Xenopus tropicalis: one gene and its partner. The protein of the gene in region 2 interacts with the protein of the main gene of each other region in a pairwise test. Links are inferred from orthologs where the notes say so. Each region holds a gene or a part of one and is shown on either strand. Other genes may lie near its edges.

What was found.
Region 1: the proteins of skp1 (region 2) and fbxl8 interact in binary tests that used the Homo sapiens proteins (3 or more experiments, as listed by UniProt). The link is inferred for Xenopus tropicalis from reciprocal best matches to the Homo sapiens genes SKP1 and FBXL8.

Annotation. Positions count from the first base shown.
Region 1 is NC_030680.2:52,167,505-52,175,641, reverse strand, and holds fbxl8 (F-box/LRR-repeat protein 8), read right to left. Parts: upstream 4,354-8,137; coding exon 4,316-4,353; intron 3,712-4,315; coding exon 2,742-3,711; 3' UTR 1,309-2,741; downstream 1-1,308. UniProt on the Homo sapiens protein: Substrate-recognition component of the SCF (SKP1-CUL1-F-box protein)-type E3 ubiquitin ligase complex.
Region 2 is NC_030679.2:26,566,298-26,574,330, reverse strand, and holds skp1 (S-phase kinase-associated protein 1), read right to left. Parts: upstream 5,445-8,033; 5' UTR 5,443-5,444; coding exon 5,346-5,442; intron 4,615-5,345; coding exon 4,541-4,614; intron 3,886-4,540; coding exon 3,742-3,885; intron 2,526-3,741; coding exon 2,385-2,525; intron 2,274-2,384; coding exon 2,238-2,273; 3' UTR 1,979-2,237; downstream 1-1,978. UniProt on the Homo sapiens protein: Essential component of the SCF (SKP1-CUL1-F-box protein) ubiquitin ligase complex, which mediates the ubiquitination of proteins involved in cell cycle progression, signal transduction and transcription.

The DNA.
Region 1 (8,137 bases), on a different chromosome or scaffold from region 2:
AGCAGGTATGGATGTTTTAGTAAGAAAACAAATTTGTGTTTCATGTTTAATTTGCAAAGGTCTTTTATTATACAGCTTTTTATTTGTGGGTGACATGTCCTTTTTAATACATAGCAATCAGGGGGTCTTACCATAGTTTAATGAACAAGGGTTACAGAATAGGATTAGGTGGGATGGTCTGTGTCATTCTGCAAAGGAATCCAATTTGAACCAAAACAGTAATAATTCCAAACACCAGTTGAGAGCTCTTTATAAAAGGCATCATCAAACTTTCAATAAACTTTTGGTCAAGCCAAATGACAGCACGACCACTCATCCATACCCAAAAGTCAAACAGTGCAAGCTAGCAATAATATGAGTTGCAGGTTGCTAAATCATTTATGTGGCTGGAAACAGAACCAGGACATGTGACTCAAGCTCATGCCAAGAGGATAAAAATGATGTACTCTTGTGAAGAGCATCGTAGTCATGCTAGACGATGGCTGCCATCAATTGGTCACTTTATGTAAAACAAAGACAAAAAAACACAAGTAACCCTTTCCAATAATTAATTTGACATTTTATACATCTGTGTATACTTTACTTTTAAAGGGTAATGCCAAAGCAAACAGAAGTGTTCAGAGCAAAATAAAAACAAAAACTAAGGAGTGATGAGAAATCCAAACAGCCCAAAGCAGATTAATATCCACTGAACAGATTCAATTACATAAAACAAGCTTGCAAATAATAAGAAAGAAGCAAGGGGTGTGACTTTCCGGTGCCTGATCAGAAACCAATTCTCTTTTTTTTCAGCCTACAATGACGGGAAGAAGGGTTTTCCTTTCCTCCTAATTAACTCACTATTATGGTCTGAAAATGCCTTTGTATATGGTTTTTTAAAATCACCAGGATGGTAGAATGGGGGTGGATGAATAGCAAGTTACCTTGTTACAAAACAGGAGCAGGTTTCCCAAAAAAAGGTTCTATATGGGTGTATGCCCACCAGATTTGCAAGTGTTACAAAATTCATATGTACAATAAACATCAAAGATCAATACTCTCCTACCTGAGTCAGGCATGAAACACTACTTCTGGTTTGTTCCATCTTAATTGCTGTATTGCTCCTTTGATGGTCCGTATTATGGTACTAAAGTCAGATTTTACAGTCCTCTTCCTCTGCTCATTGGGTGTGCCCTTTCCAGTAGGGATTCTGGGAACTTTATTCAAGTACAGAAGCATTTATTGCTTCTTGTGTGTTACAGTCAGTGAGTGGATACACAAAGAGCAACTGCAGAGCAGCTTTCCAACAAAAACCCAACTAGGATGATATGGCTTGTAATGGCATACCGTTTTATTAGAGAGGTTAATGAACTACATGCTTAAAAAAAAATTAGTGTTACAATTTAAAAAAAAAAACGTTATTAGACATTTAAAAACATGAAAACACACAACAATATATTATGAATATTCAAATTCAAGTATGGGATCCCTTAATCAGAAACTTGTTATACAGAAAGCCCTGAATTACATAGAGTTCATTATAGGCGTGATGAGCTCTAATCTCGAATTTTAATGTCAAAAGATAATATTTACTGATATATACAGTATATATTTCAGTATGGTAAGATTCTTTAATAGGCCACTTATTATGATAAAAACTATCTGTTGGTTAAGTATTCATTCTGGGGGTAGTTTTCCTTTAAACAGCTAGTTATAGCCAGGAAATTGCAATGACTCTTAAGTGCCCTGTTAAGTGCAACAAATAATTAAAACCCGTTGATATTTCCTAATAACTGAATACGCAAAAACTATTTTCACAACAACCCTTATTATTGAACTCATGTTAAAAACAGGATAACCTGCCCCTCAGCAAGTACAACAAAAAGTAAGGAAAGACAATTTTTATGGAACTACTTAACATTAGTCGTAGAGGACTCCTCTCCTTTTGTTTGTTTTCGAATTCAGATTCTTGCCATCTGCTCTAACCATTTCCACTGTATCTGCTATTCTGCTGGTCTAGTGGCTCAAGGACTACAGTAGATTCCTAAGAATGCTCACCAGCCACCCCTGAGGAGCCACAGACAGTTGGGGGCCTCCAACACAAGCTTAATTATTACAGAGGCATGGCCAAAGTCTCTTGTATATTACCATATTCTGAATTTTAAGTTACACTTGCTTTTATTAAACTGAAAGAACCCAGGGTCAGACTCAATCCCTGCTGGAGCTCCACAGGCTGCAGATCACTCTACGCCAAGGTGCTGATAAGCATGCTCGGCAGAGGGGTTCAGGCAGGTGACAGGGGCCCTGCGGGGGAGGGGGGCAGGGGCCCCTTGGGTGGCAGCCCTGGTCATACTAAAAGGCCATACTAAAAGTTAAACTGATGGTGAACCACCCCTTTAATGCTCTTTGTGAGAAGACAATTCCTCATAAGTCTTTGCCAAGTAATCATAAGCCTACAAAAATACAATAATTCAGATATATCCCTAACCAAGTTCTGAAGTTAACACATCCCTAGCTGTAAACCCCAATACACTATGTAAGTGCTAAGTGCAATCACAAAACGGTCCATTTTAAACCAATCTGATAGAGGTAAAGTGCTTTGCATTCCATATAGAAATTTATGTTGTAAATGTTACCAATTCTATTTTCAAATTTGATCAAAGCATGCACAGTGTATTTAAATATAAGCTATATGTTTCTTATTTAAGGAACCCTGTAAATTGAGCAACTGTGAAACTTCATTCACTGCAGAGTCAAATGGATTATCGTAAAGTTGGCTTCCAAGGATGCTTCTCTTTGATTACCTTTAGGGTATATTTTTTCAAATGAGGACAACAAGTTAGAAAAGCTTGGATCACTTCTTGCTTTACCACACAGTAGCAGTGAACCTCCTCAAGCCGACTACACTTGCCAGCCAAGTCAATTAGAGCAGAATCTAGTTCACTAGAGGAAGTGGTCTGTATCACAAACTTCTGCAATGTCTGTGAATAATGGCTGCTTACAAATCTAATTTCATTCATCATTTCATTAAACGTATTGAGCTGCAACGTATCGACAGGAATGCTTGGTTTTAAAATATGTGGAATTTTACGGGCAGGGATAGTGTGATCAAATGCCATATTGACATGAAGAGAGGGATGTCGGCAGCGAAGGTCTCTCCAAACCTCATCAGAGATTGCTAAGATATGCTTGTCCATACGTTCACAGAAAAGATCTAGGCAATTAAATGGGGGCCTGTGAGGCTTCATTATGTCCTTAAAAACATCTTCATTCAAAGAACAGTAAAAAGCACCAAGAACACATAATTTAGGACAAACCTCCAAAACCTCTTTAATGGCACTGGTAGAGATTTTGCAAACCAGTGTGCCATTGTTGATATATAAGCTCCGCAAGTTTGGGCTGCTAGTAGCAATGCATCTAACAAAATCATCAGTGAGAGTAAATGGAACGTTCCGGAAATCAACATGATGCAGGTCTATCGGACTGTCTCTGCACAAATTAGCAATACTCGTCAAGATCTCCGGGCCTGAATAAAAAAATGGGTTTTCTCCACAGCAAACAATATTCAAGCTCTCCAGTTTGCAGCTCTCCTTACATAAACAGTCAAAAATCTCTATAACTTTCATACGGTTTGTCTCCTTAGATTGGTTAAACACAAGCTTCAGATGTTTAATTTGACCTACATACTGGCGTAGTCCTTCCAGTAACAGCAAGTCTTTGTCAGATACCAGTCTGTTAAGAAAGAAAGAATGAAATGACATGATCAAGACAATGCTTTCTCTATTCTATCAACTGGTAATAAAGTTTTCTAAAAATATAACTAATGTTTATTATATTGTTTCTTACTTTAACCATGATATAGTTTAGCAATTTGATATAAAGGCATGTCCATGCTGGCCACTTAATTAAACCCCTCAGTAGCCTATATCAGCTATGTATCATAGGTGAGACAAGTGCTACTCCACTATGACATGATAATTAATTGTTTTGGTATTAAATGTAAGGCTGGTCCCATGTTAGTTATATATGATAAGGTTATGCTGTGAGTTATGCTGCATCTACTATCAAGATGCAGGCCCTGCCTGTAGCATATCCACCTTGTGTTATACCATGATGCCATCTCTGTGAGTTAATACATGATGTAACTAGTTAGTACTGTAATACAACCCCTTTGTTTTATATCATAAATCTGACCATAAGAGAAGGTGAAATTCAGCACTCTTGCTTAGGGTACCAAAGGTTTTTGCTCCAGCATGCACATCACTTTGTGGTGTAATTCACGTTTGCCCTTATCTGCAATTTTTATATAGGAAAAGTCTGCTAAACAAGCAATTACCTGATTTCTGTGTAGTGCCAAACAGGACTTGATGCCATCGCAATTGCCCACAACTGGCACACTTGTGATACTACAAATCTGTCATTCAAAGACAGGTGATAAAAAATAATTGCAAGAATTTCCTGAGGCATATGTTTCCAGAGGCCAGACATTGTTGTTCCGTTATCTGTATAAGGTTATTCTGTGTGAGAAAAAAGGAATATTGAAAATACTCCATAAAAATACTATAACAGGAGCACACAGTAAAACTTTGAACTGGGGAGAGGGGGAATACTGCTTGTGCCATAAACACACAGACTTTGACCACTAGTTATTATTAGCCATTAATATATATTATATTTGACCTAACTGGCAACTAAGTTACCATAAATCCATGTTAGTGCAAAACAATTCTATTATTTTATTTTTTTTGAAAACTGAAAGTTCTATGTAGCTTTAAAGGTCATCTAAAGCTTATTTTAGTGGGGAGTGCCAAAATGTTAGGCTACCCCTGTGAAATAAAGCAAAGTCTTTTCTCCGTGCCAGAGCACTAGTTTAGAGAAAATTGCATCAGCCTGTGTGTTACGATCTGTATTGCAGTAACTATTTGGTGAGAAGTAGAACCCCAGTCGAGTCTGAACTTTACCGACATCCTTTTGGGAGACCCTGAAATTTCTGCTGGGGTACTGACTGGAAATCTGAACACTGTTGAGAATTAGGGCACAATAAGTACAATAAGGGGCACATTCATTAAAGTACGACAGGTCCAATAACAAAAAATTTATATTTTTTCTAAAGTTTACAACTTTTGCATATTTTCTGTGATATGTTTGTTAATATGCATGGCTTTTTCGTACTTTGCGACAATTTGTGCGACAAAAACGTATTTGTCGTAACGAGTAAGCTTCCGAATTCATTCAAGCTTCGGTATCGTGGCTTTACTTTGGCCAGGTTGGAGCTGCAGAGTCCTATGGAAGGCTTCCAAAATCATGCACTGAAGGTTCAGAGTCAGAAAGGTTTTCACGCTGTTTACAATCGTTCAGATACGAACATTTCGTAAGTTTTGGATCGTACCACGATATTTTCGTCTAAGCACAACGCAACTTTTCACAAAATTATCGTACATCAGAAATTTGAGTATTTAATGCGAATTTTCGCAAAAAATTAACATACATCAGAAATTTGAGTATTTAATGTGAGTTTTTACAAATCGTACTCGTAATTTGTACTTTAATGAATCTGGCCCTAAGTGTTTAACAGAGCTGTAATCAAAGTCAGGCAAAAAGTATGGGGAGTCGCAAACACAAAAACCAGGTAGGCAGGCAGGAAATAGGTTTCAGCTGGGTACTTTGTACTAGTGCCTGATTTTGACTACAACTCTGTTTAACCCTTACTGTACTGTGCTTTGGATCACTTTTAGTAGTATTCAGGTTCCCAGTCTCATACACCTCTCCTCCCGCTCCACAAGTGCTGCCCCTCTCTGCCAATCCTTGCACTGGCTACCTGTCATGTACAGGATTCAGTTCAAGATTCTTGTACTCACCTTCAAAGCACTCACTGGTGCTGCATCACTCTATTTAACCACCCTAACCACCCTACACCCACAGATGTTACCTTCGCACTACACACAACCTCCTTCTCTCCTCCTCACTCATCACCTCCTCTCACTCTCGCATCCAGAACTTCTCATGCGCTGCACCCATCCTCTGGAATGCCCTTCCCTGTCCCATTAGGCACTGCCAGACTTTCGAAGCCTCTAAACGGTCTCTTAAAACTCACCTTTTGACTCAAGCCTATAACATAAACCCTCCTAAACATTTCCTAACCACTGGTTTTCACCTCTTACTCCGCACTTACTGTCGCTTTACACACCTACATGAATTCCAACGCCATGCTATTTACCCCTCCCTTTCAGAATGTAAGCTCTTTTGCGAGCAGGGCCCTCCCCCTAGTGTCTCAGATCCTCGTCCAATGTAACTGCAAACCATTTTTGTGAATTGTTTGTATGTATGTATGTATGTATGTATGTATGTATGTATGTATGTATGTATATGTATGTATATCTTTATTTATAAAGTGCTACTTATGTACGCAGCGCTGTACAGTAGAATACATTAATACAAACGGGATTATTAAGATAATAATAGATACATACAAAGTACAACAATAAATACAAGATAAATACAGTTGCAATAAGTTAAGAGTCAAAGACACAAGAGGATGAAGGTCCCTGCCCCATAGAGCTTACAATCTATATAGTATATGTACATGTTAACTGTTATATCTTTTGTACCCCTCTATTCTGCTGCATAAATTGATGGAGCTATATAAATAATAATTGTAACCCCGTAGTATTGCCGCACCTACAGTATGCGCAGGGTTTAACATGTAAAGGTAAGAAAACGACTAAGCACGTTTTTTACTGTCCAGTTCAGTTTTGTCTGAAAAGGAACCTCAGGTTTTGGAAGTGAAATAAGCTTTAGATGCCCTTTAAGATATGGTCCCAATCTAGCAAACATTCTAGATCTCATACCGGTATAATTGTAAATATAAAAAAGGAAAGTGCTAAAACCAGAAATCTGTCTTATCCCAGAAGTTTATGAAAGATTTAGATTTGTTAGAAAGGAATCCAAACCCTAAGCATCATATAAGCTGCATGTCCACAAAGCTTGTAAAGAACACAAAGCCATTTACAGAAAACTGACATTCCATCTGAAACTGATGTCACCCTCTGCAGTAGGTTGCCAAGAAAATTCAGGAACACAATGCAATCAGCTGGATTTTTTTTAGACGTGTCCCTGAATTTTCAAGTGATCTGGTCACCCTACTCTGCAGAAGCACAACCTGCACTAATAAGAAAAAAACAGCAGTGGGTACATAGGTCATAGGGTGGGGCTTCAACCAGATTCTGAAGCTCAATAGAAAGACAAATGATATTTACAAAAAAACTTTAAAAAAAAAAACTCTATTTAAAAAAATCTCTATTTAAATAAATGCACTTTATATGCTTTATTTACTTCCAATATGCAGAACTGATAAAGCATGTATACAGATACATCTTCCACAGGCATTCAAAGTAAGTCACTCCAGCTTATTTAATAGGCGGGGTGCAGTAGTAATACTACATATAGGCATATATCCTTCATTTAGCCACATAACTTGCAGCAAACTGATTTAGAAATTCTGTATACCATATATGATTATTGCTGAGCTCCACAACGCACTCCGGCTGCTTACCTCGGAACACAAGCAACTTCTCTTCCGGAAACATTGGCTCACTCTCTCCTGTAAACTTCGATTGGCTGCTAGGAGTCAGATGATTTTAAAGGCCTATCGGTAGTGAGAAAAGTCTACAGCAGGAAGATAATGTGTTAGTGCTGTGATCTGTGTCTGTCACAGTACCTCAGCTGCTTTGTATTGTGTTATTGCTTATAAACGCACTGTTTACAGTCAGGTGTTGGATTGCACTGTTGTGTTGCAGTAAAACAGATATTATTAAATAATGTCTGCTCTATCCCTTGCCTTTAAGTTCTATAACATGGTTGCCACATGACCAGTTTATAGTTATTTGGCATACAATACACAAAGTAAATACTGGAAGTTGTAGTTCCCATACAAGAAATGTGGACACTTGCACTTTGAAGAGACAAACTTCTAACTAACATAAGAGGGAGCTGCCATATTCAGGGTCTGACTGGGGGGTGCCTCAGGGGCCCCGCACCACCTACCCAAGGGACCCCCACCTAGGGTTTCCACCTCTGCCGGCTTTCTTCGCTGGGGAGAGGGGGCAGGGAAAAGGTGGGCTGTGACATCGCAGTGAACCATGACACCAGGGGACGCGCT
Region 2 (8,033 bases):
ACTGACCTATCTATCCACTCCCATATTTAAGGTATGGAGATCCAGATTACCAAAAGACCCCTTATCCGGAATACCCTTGGTCCCGAGCATTCCGGATAAGGGGTCCTATATCGGTACACTCACATACATAAACTATATATACAAGCATTAATACTAACTGTAGATATTAGTACCACAATAGCCTTGGATATTCTGCTTGTTCAAGAACTCACCCAGGGCCCTCTTATAGGCATTAACAGAGTCTGCCATTACCACATCACTAGGAAGGGCATTCCCCAACCTCACTGCCCTCACCGTGAAAAACCACCTACGCTGCTTCAAATGGAAGCTCCGTTCCTCTAATCTAAAGGGGGGGCCTCTGGTGCGTGGATCGTTTTTTCCCATAAAAACAAACATCCCCTATCTGCCTATAATCCCCTCTAATGTACTTGTACAGAGTAATCATGTCCCCTCGCAAACTCAGAGGCATATTTATTAACAATGGAGACATAGTAACCAATCAGCAAATTAAATTTGGCCACATAAGTTAGAAAAAGTAAAGAGCTGATAGGGGTGTATTTGCCCGTGGAAACCAAAGTTTAGAATGGTACAATATACCCAGTCAGATAAGAAATCATATTCCCTTCATGCAATGCAGAGGCAAGTCAATGTAAATAATTAGCTTTAAGTTTATAGGGTTTTTTTCCCTATGGTTTGAAAGACTGGTCTGTCTGAGGGAGGAAAAACAAGGACATCAGCTGAGGCAGCATATAGGCAAAAGCCTTTTCAGCCTTCTTTTGAATCAGCTACAAGCTAGAAAAAGTTTAAGCTTACCAAAAAAACTAAGTAACTTAATGTCAACAACTATTTAAATATTTGTCTTTTTTTTTTTTTACCCAAACTTACTTTTAAAACAGACTTCATTCATTCTGCACTGAGTGATAGTCAGTGAAAGTTGTTTTTTACATAAATCTGAGGTTGGAATAATGCAACAAATGCCCTTTACACATGAATGTATCAAACAAATGAACAAATGATACTGCAACTGAAAATGAAATTTCATTTAATGACAATGCAGTGAACCAAAAAACCTTTTAAAGTCAGTTTATTAGGAAAGTCCAAACCTTCTTTTCCTTACAGATTTCGCAAGGAACACCAAATATGAAACCAGGAATGAAGCACATAAGGAGAAGGAAAGGTATAATTACTGGGGGTGCCTTATCTGAGACCCTGGGTACTTTTGTAGGAGCACCATGTCAACTTCTAGCCTATTACACTGGGATGGTGCAGTTTCCAGCAACCAGAAACACTGGCCTGGAGTCTCACGTAAGCAATTATAATCAATGGGGGGGGGGGGGGGGGGGGGGGGGGGAGTAAATAACATTTTTGCACTTCCCAATAATTATACCTTTCCGCTCCTATTAAGGATGTGAGAGAACAGAAAAAGAAATATGACTTAACAAATGGGCTCTTGCACTAACCTATTTAGCTCTTTGTTGCAGTAAATGTTTAGCAGTGCTACAGTCTTCTCTTGCACAGAAAAGCAACCAAGGAATTGTCTCAAAACTATGCTTGAGCATCTATTGCACTAAGGAAATGTAAATCATGCTACCTCTCTAAGCTTTTAGAGGGAAAGGTAAACCACTAAAGTCTCCCTGTGACATTCAGAGCTGGGACACCACACAAGATAAATACTCGCACATGAACTTGAGACACGTTCGTTAAAGTATGAAATCAGTGTCTGTATGCATAGAAGGTGAACTTTATATAAAAACAAAAATTCACAACCTCATAACTGCCTGAGTGGCCAATTACACTAAACAGAGAAGAGTCTGTCACATACATGTTCCAGGCAGATTATTTTGCCATACACACAAAACAGCACACATTGTGATTTGCTGCTGAAGTTGCCTTGTCAGAGAAGCCAAAATCTAGGAAATGTAAAGTTCTGTCAAAACACAGTTCTGCAAGAACAGGAGTAGACTACTGTGATGCCATCTTTCATCTTCAAAGCACGCAGCTAACAGGTTTATTATTGTTTTAAAGGAAATATCACACAAGATTACAATGGTTAAAACACGGCTTGAAGATCTGAATTACTCAATAAGAAAAAAAAAAAAAAATGTCAGACACAACACATGCAGCAAAACATCCTCCTGCTAATTTAAGCTGCTGAATTGTCTAGTATAAACAGAGCAGTGCAACTAGTTGATTTGGAACGACTTGTACAGTGTTACAGTGGTAACAGGTATGCAACTTCACTTTTCTTCACACCACTGATTCTCTTTGCGTACCTAAAAGGAAAATAGCATAAAAGAGGTTCATTAATAAATACTCTTGTTGGAGTGGAGATATTGGCTGACACACTTGTAAAAGGAAATAAACTTAAGCGTATAAATATATACCTGAGCTTCTTCCTCCTCAGTAAAGTCGTTTTTGATGTTGAAGGTCTTTCGAATTTCTTCTGGCGTTTTTCCTTTAATCATGTTTGCAACTGTCTTGCAGGTGACATCAAGCAATCCTTTGATATCCAAATAGTTGGCAGCCTGAAGATAAAAAAAAAAAAAAAAAAAAGCAAAATCAAACCAGCCCCCAATTTTTTTTTGACCAGCAAGAACTCAAACCCACCCCTGATTTGCTCACACTCCCTTGTATTTGATATGGTACCAATAGACTGCAGAAAAGCTTATGAATTGGCTTAGAAGCAATATATGTTTATGACAATGACACAAAAGTTATGCAGCTCAATCAGTGCCACCAAGAATGTAGCATCCTTTAGGAGGAACTGGACAAACTGGGAGACTGGCCTGCTAAGTGGCATTCCAAAATATGCAAGGAGCTGGGGTGACTTGTGGAAAATAAACTTAGCTTTAGCAAGCAATGCCAGTCAGCGGAAGGAAGAGCCAGCAAGGTATACAGACTCAGAGGGGAAGTACATATTCCCACTTTAGAAAACACTGGCAAAGGCCCCATCTAGAATATGCAGTGCAGTATTGGTCTCAAATCCTTAAATGGATATTAATGAAATAGTAGCTCTTTTTGGACTCGCTCTAAATTAATGAAGGGTATTTTATGAGGAAAAGTTATCATACGTGCTTTAAGTGGCGTATAAGCACTACATATGAATATGCAAGTGTAATTTATGTATATAGGATTGAGATGAAAAAAAAAAAAATAGTTTCAGCCATTTTCAGTTTGGAAGTTAAATCTATGCTGACTGAGGAATATATGGACATGTGTATGTAAATTTTTAAAAATCTTTTATGAATTAGTGTATAAATTTCTAGTAACTGTTGTGTTATGTGTTAACAAGTAAAATGGCAGCCACGTTTTAATGTATGAATAAAATTATGTGTGTTAAAACTATATTGCTCAGAAGCAACATGCAGATGCCATGTGGATGCCTTTATTGAAGCCACTAAGGACAAAATTATGCACAACGTTTCATATATGTGGGCTCACCCTTACCTCTCAAGTGCAGGAGAACAAGCACACTTTGTTGGAACATGTTAATGGCAAGGTTTTTAAATATCAACTCTCCTACCTCTTTCGGACAAAAACACAAATAATTACTGGCTGTGTTGTGTGTGCACTACCTTCAGGCTGTGTTGTGTGTGCAATACCTTCAGACTGTGTGGTACTTTAAGTTGCAGGTTCCCTTTAAGGTTATTAATACTACTAAGTACAAGTACTAGAAATACACTTATGTAATTCTAATGGGTTCTATAAAAGCTGTTGGGTTTTTTGGTGAGCATGCCTCACCAAAATCAGTTCAAATAGTGTTCCCTGATCCACTTTTAAAAACTCTTGGTCCCACACAGGGATATCATCTGTTCTCTTCTCTTTGTTTTCATCGTCTTCGGGTGGAGGGGGATCATCTTTATGATGTGTACACCACTGAATGACCTGATGAAAATAAAAGTACATAGGTATTTATCTTTATGATTTATACAACTGACTGCATTTGTTGGCCAGGTCCTGAATCCAAGACAATGTGGTACTGCTAAACTTAAGATATGTTCAATTTCATCATTTTGTTGTTTATATGTTAATATAATTCAAGCTAGTAAAAAAAAAAAAAAAAAAAAAAGTAAATCTTGTAACAACCTACACTTGAAGAGCTAAACCAAAAATAGGAGCAATGTCCTCTACTGCCTGAATTAGAGAGCAAGTGTTTCTAGGTCTGAAACAGTATACATCATAACTCAAGAATATGAAACCCCAAACAGCAGGATGAAGTTCCTAATAACCAATAGTTCAGTTTTATTTTTTTACTTGCCAATATGCCTTAAAACCCTGGCATTTATAAGTAGTTCTTCTTCTGGCAGTGATAAGCAAATATAAATAATGTGTGTGTGTGTGTGTGTGTAGGGGGGGGGGAGGCTGTTGCAACTTTTTAATTAACACAATTCTGAATCTGGTACAATTTTTTTGTCCTAATTACATTGCATTATATCCCTGCAGCAAACCAACACCTCTAAAAAAAAAAAAAACAATCTCTAATCTGCATCCAGTATTCTAGTATGGGTATACGTAAAACCACTACCTAAATAGCACTTACTTTTTTAAGGATTGCAGCATTAACATTGGGAAGTGGCACAGGGTCATCATCACCTTCATCATCCATACCCAGATCTGTTTAAAAACATTTAATTGATAACTGTGTCTTGCCAAAAAAATGTAAAAAAAAACCCAAGATAATTTAGACAGAAAGGCAATGTTCTAAAACTATAGTCAAATAAGAGATTTCTCAAGAATTTACACAAAATAAATTTAAACACAACAGAAATATTACAACCAGTTCCTCTGAGGACAATTTTTTTTCAGCAAGACTGCTACTTATTTGTTATATTGGGATCACTGCTGTTATGAGTAGTTTGAAACGCTGTGTACCTGTTATGTAGTGAACAGCACCAAAACTTTTTTTTTTTTTAATAAAAAGCCCTTATTCCATCATTTCCAAATCCTGGATTGTACAAACAATGTTTTCTAAAGTACCCTGTGTACCTGTCTCTTATCAGTGTAAAAGGAGCTACTACCTAAAAAGATAATCCTCCACAAACCCAAGAAATTTCCCAATTTGAAAGTGGATGACAAAATGATTGGAATTACCCCTGACATTTCAATTGCAAATGTCTGTTCACCCAGGTGCACTCAAAGGTCATGCAAATGCTACATAGAAGAAAAATTCCCAGCAATATTGTTTCTGTAAAGGGATTGCTTTTGGAGAGAATCCACTCAATTGCCCAATGTGCCTTTACACCAACACTTTCAAAGCTAGGAGAATAAAAACAAATGAAGACCTGCACACCAGAGGACAAAATTATAAAGAATACATATTCAAAGAATTTTTTTTTAAAAAGTACCTTCCAACATAGTTTTAATTGTTACTGACTGCTTTGCAATTTCAACATCCACTTCAAAAATCTCTCCATCAGAACTCTGCAGCTTTATAGAAGGCATCTGAAAAACAAAAACACATTAATCAACACAAACAGTACTGCTTAGTGAAGTTACTGCAAGCAAAACAGAAAGAAAATCAATTGGTACTTTCAATGAGAGATGATCAGGAAGGCAGCTGTGAAACTCAAGATGCTGCACTGAAGCACATTTAAGCATGGTGAGCAGGAGAGACATGGGAACAAAATGGCAGCAAGCACAGCAAGTGCACTGCAGGCCATTGTAGGCAAGTAGAATCACAGAGTGGCTAACATGGCAACCACCCCCCCAGTGACTATACCTTTCCTTCTGCTTTAATGAAATGCAAACATCATGTTTCATGCCCTGGTTGTCAGTAAGGCAGGGCCAATAAAAATAATCATCTATACAACAGCCCTGGTGCCTGGTTGCTTCAGTCTCTGCCCAAGACCCACACCAACTGTGCAATATACAGTGGTCTGGCACGGCCTAATGAGCAAAGGGAAGAAGCTGCAGCTAGTAGGAATAAGAAGGGGCCTGCCAACTGTTGCCAGCACCCTGCCCTCCACTACCAGGAAGAGAATAAGGAGCTAAAAGCTTTGGGTCTCATCCGGAATGTGCAATTACCGGTACTCTGCAATTTTCAGAGAGCTGTGCAGGAATTGGGAAAATGCACTAAATTCTAACAGCTGTCAACCTGGCACTGCTCCTTTAACAGCCGACTGCAAATGGCTGGACAGCTGGAGATGGATGAACCCTTGTTAACACTGGCCACCATTAGTGTGCACGCAGTACACAAAGGGAAAGTGTCTCTGGCATATATGATGTGGGAAAGACTTACTGAGCAGGTATAACTATGGAAGCAGAACAAAGTAATTACCAACAAAGGGTGTCATTTTACTGCTGCAGTATGACTTTGCCAATAGCAGCCAGGATAATGGCAATTGCCAAGCTCCAAATCTGCATTAGAGGCCATTTGCCCATCCTGCCCAGAAAAAGAATCTGTACATCAATAGTTGACATACAGCCAATTACAGAGAGGACATTTGCTATCCCTGAGCCATGCTTTTCACTCAGCCTCATTTTAAACAAAGGCTTTATGAATTAAAATAACAGAAGTTTGGCCTAGACAGCAACATACAGAGCAGAGTGACTAACAGCACAAGGCAATAGGAATTACCATATTCTGTTAAAAAGAGGACTGGTTATTAAATATCTTAGAGGGGACAGAGTGTACTTGAAATCTTAATTGTGTAGTTAAGCACATTTTTAATCTTACAGGTATGGGATCTAGATTAAGGAGACTCATTATCAAGAAAGCTTTTGGAAATGCCATTTTATTATTGTTTGACCAATTTCCTTTTGCTCTATAATAGTGGATATTTCAAAACGGTGACTGATCCCCTACAAGTTCCATGTGAGAGTCCACTGTGCCCAGGTAAACAAATATACTGTTTAATTTATTATAACAAATATAATGGTTTATAAGGAGTGGGTCCAGCCTACATGGACTTGTCAGACGAGAATGGCATCAAAGTGACAATGCAGTCTTTGCCATGTAGGATTTTCAACCCTGCCGAATATATATCTAATTTTGTTTGGGTATGGATGGGCTGGGTCAGCAGGTGTTAAGACAATAGTTGACTGAAAAGTTTTTCATATACTTTTTCAGGCACTCTACATATTGTAGCCTTCACCATTCCCAGCTACAGTCTGTTGATCTCAATGGTGGCCAATAAAAAGTGCAACAATTTTTTTGCACTAAAAGGAAGTAAACTGCAGGTAAAAATCAGTCCCTGCGTACTAATGTATAATGAAGCAGTAAAATACTTAATAAATAATATAAAAGTCAGTACGGGAATTAAATTTGGCATAGTTGGCCAGCTTTCAGTATATTGCTAAAAGGGGAGGTCATTTCTTAGTAGCTTAATGCACAGAATGTCTTAATGTCCTATATCTATACCTATATCTATCTCTCTCTCTCTCTGTATCTCTCTCTCTCTCTGTATCTCTCTCTCTCTCTGTATCTCTCTCTCTCTCTGTATCTCTCTATATATTGAGAATATCAATATCTTTGGTCTGAAACCTGCATGTCACCACAAAAGCTCATAGCTCAAGCAGTGACCGGCATGTTTTCCTCCAGCTGTGTCATGATCAAAGGTAGCTGCACAAGCAAATGATTGGGCAACTTTAGATTTCACTGCCTAGGGTCTGTATGTTTTGACTAGAAGACTAAAGGAAATCATCAATTATTATATATAACCAATTATTTTACAGGAACTGCAGTTTTTGCTACAAAGGAAGCTACCAATCACCTGCAAGGGAATGCAGACATCAGAAACCACACTCTTGGGGCCATCTTGGCCCCAGTTAAGTTGATAGGCATGACTCCTGATACCTGTATTCTGTGCCAGTCATTAAGGGGGGGTAAGTGATTTTCAATACAGTAGTTCAGGATGGAATCCCAAGGACAACATGATGGGTGAAACCATTATGCACTGCAGGTAAATGTAATGATTTCATCCCATGAGCATGGGTATCCCTGCAGCGGTCAGCTGACATCCCCCCACCAATTAAAAGCGAGCCCCTGTGCTGTAGCCAAGTAACACTCAACAGGAAAGCTAATGAGCCCGCAC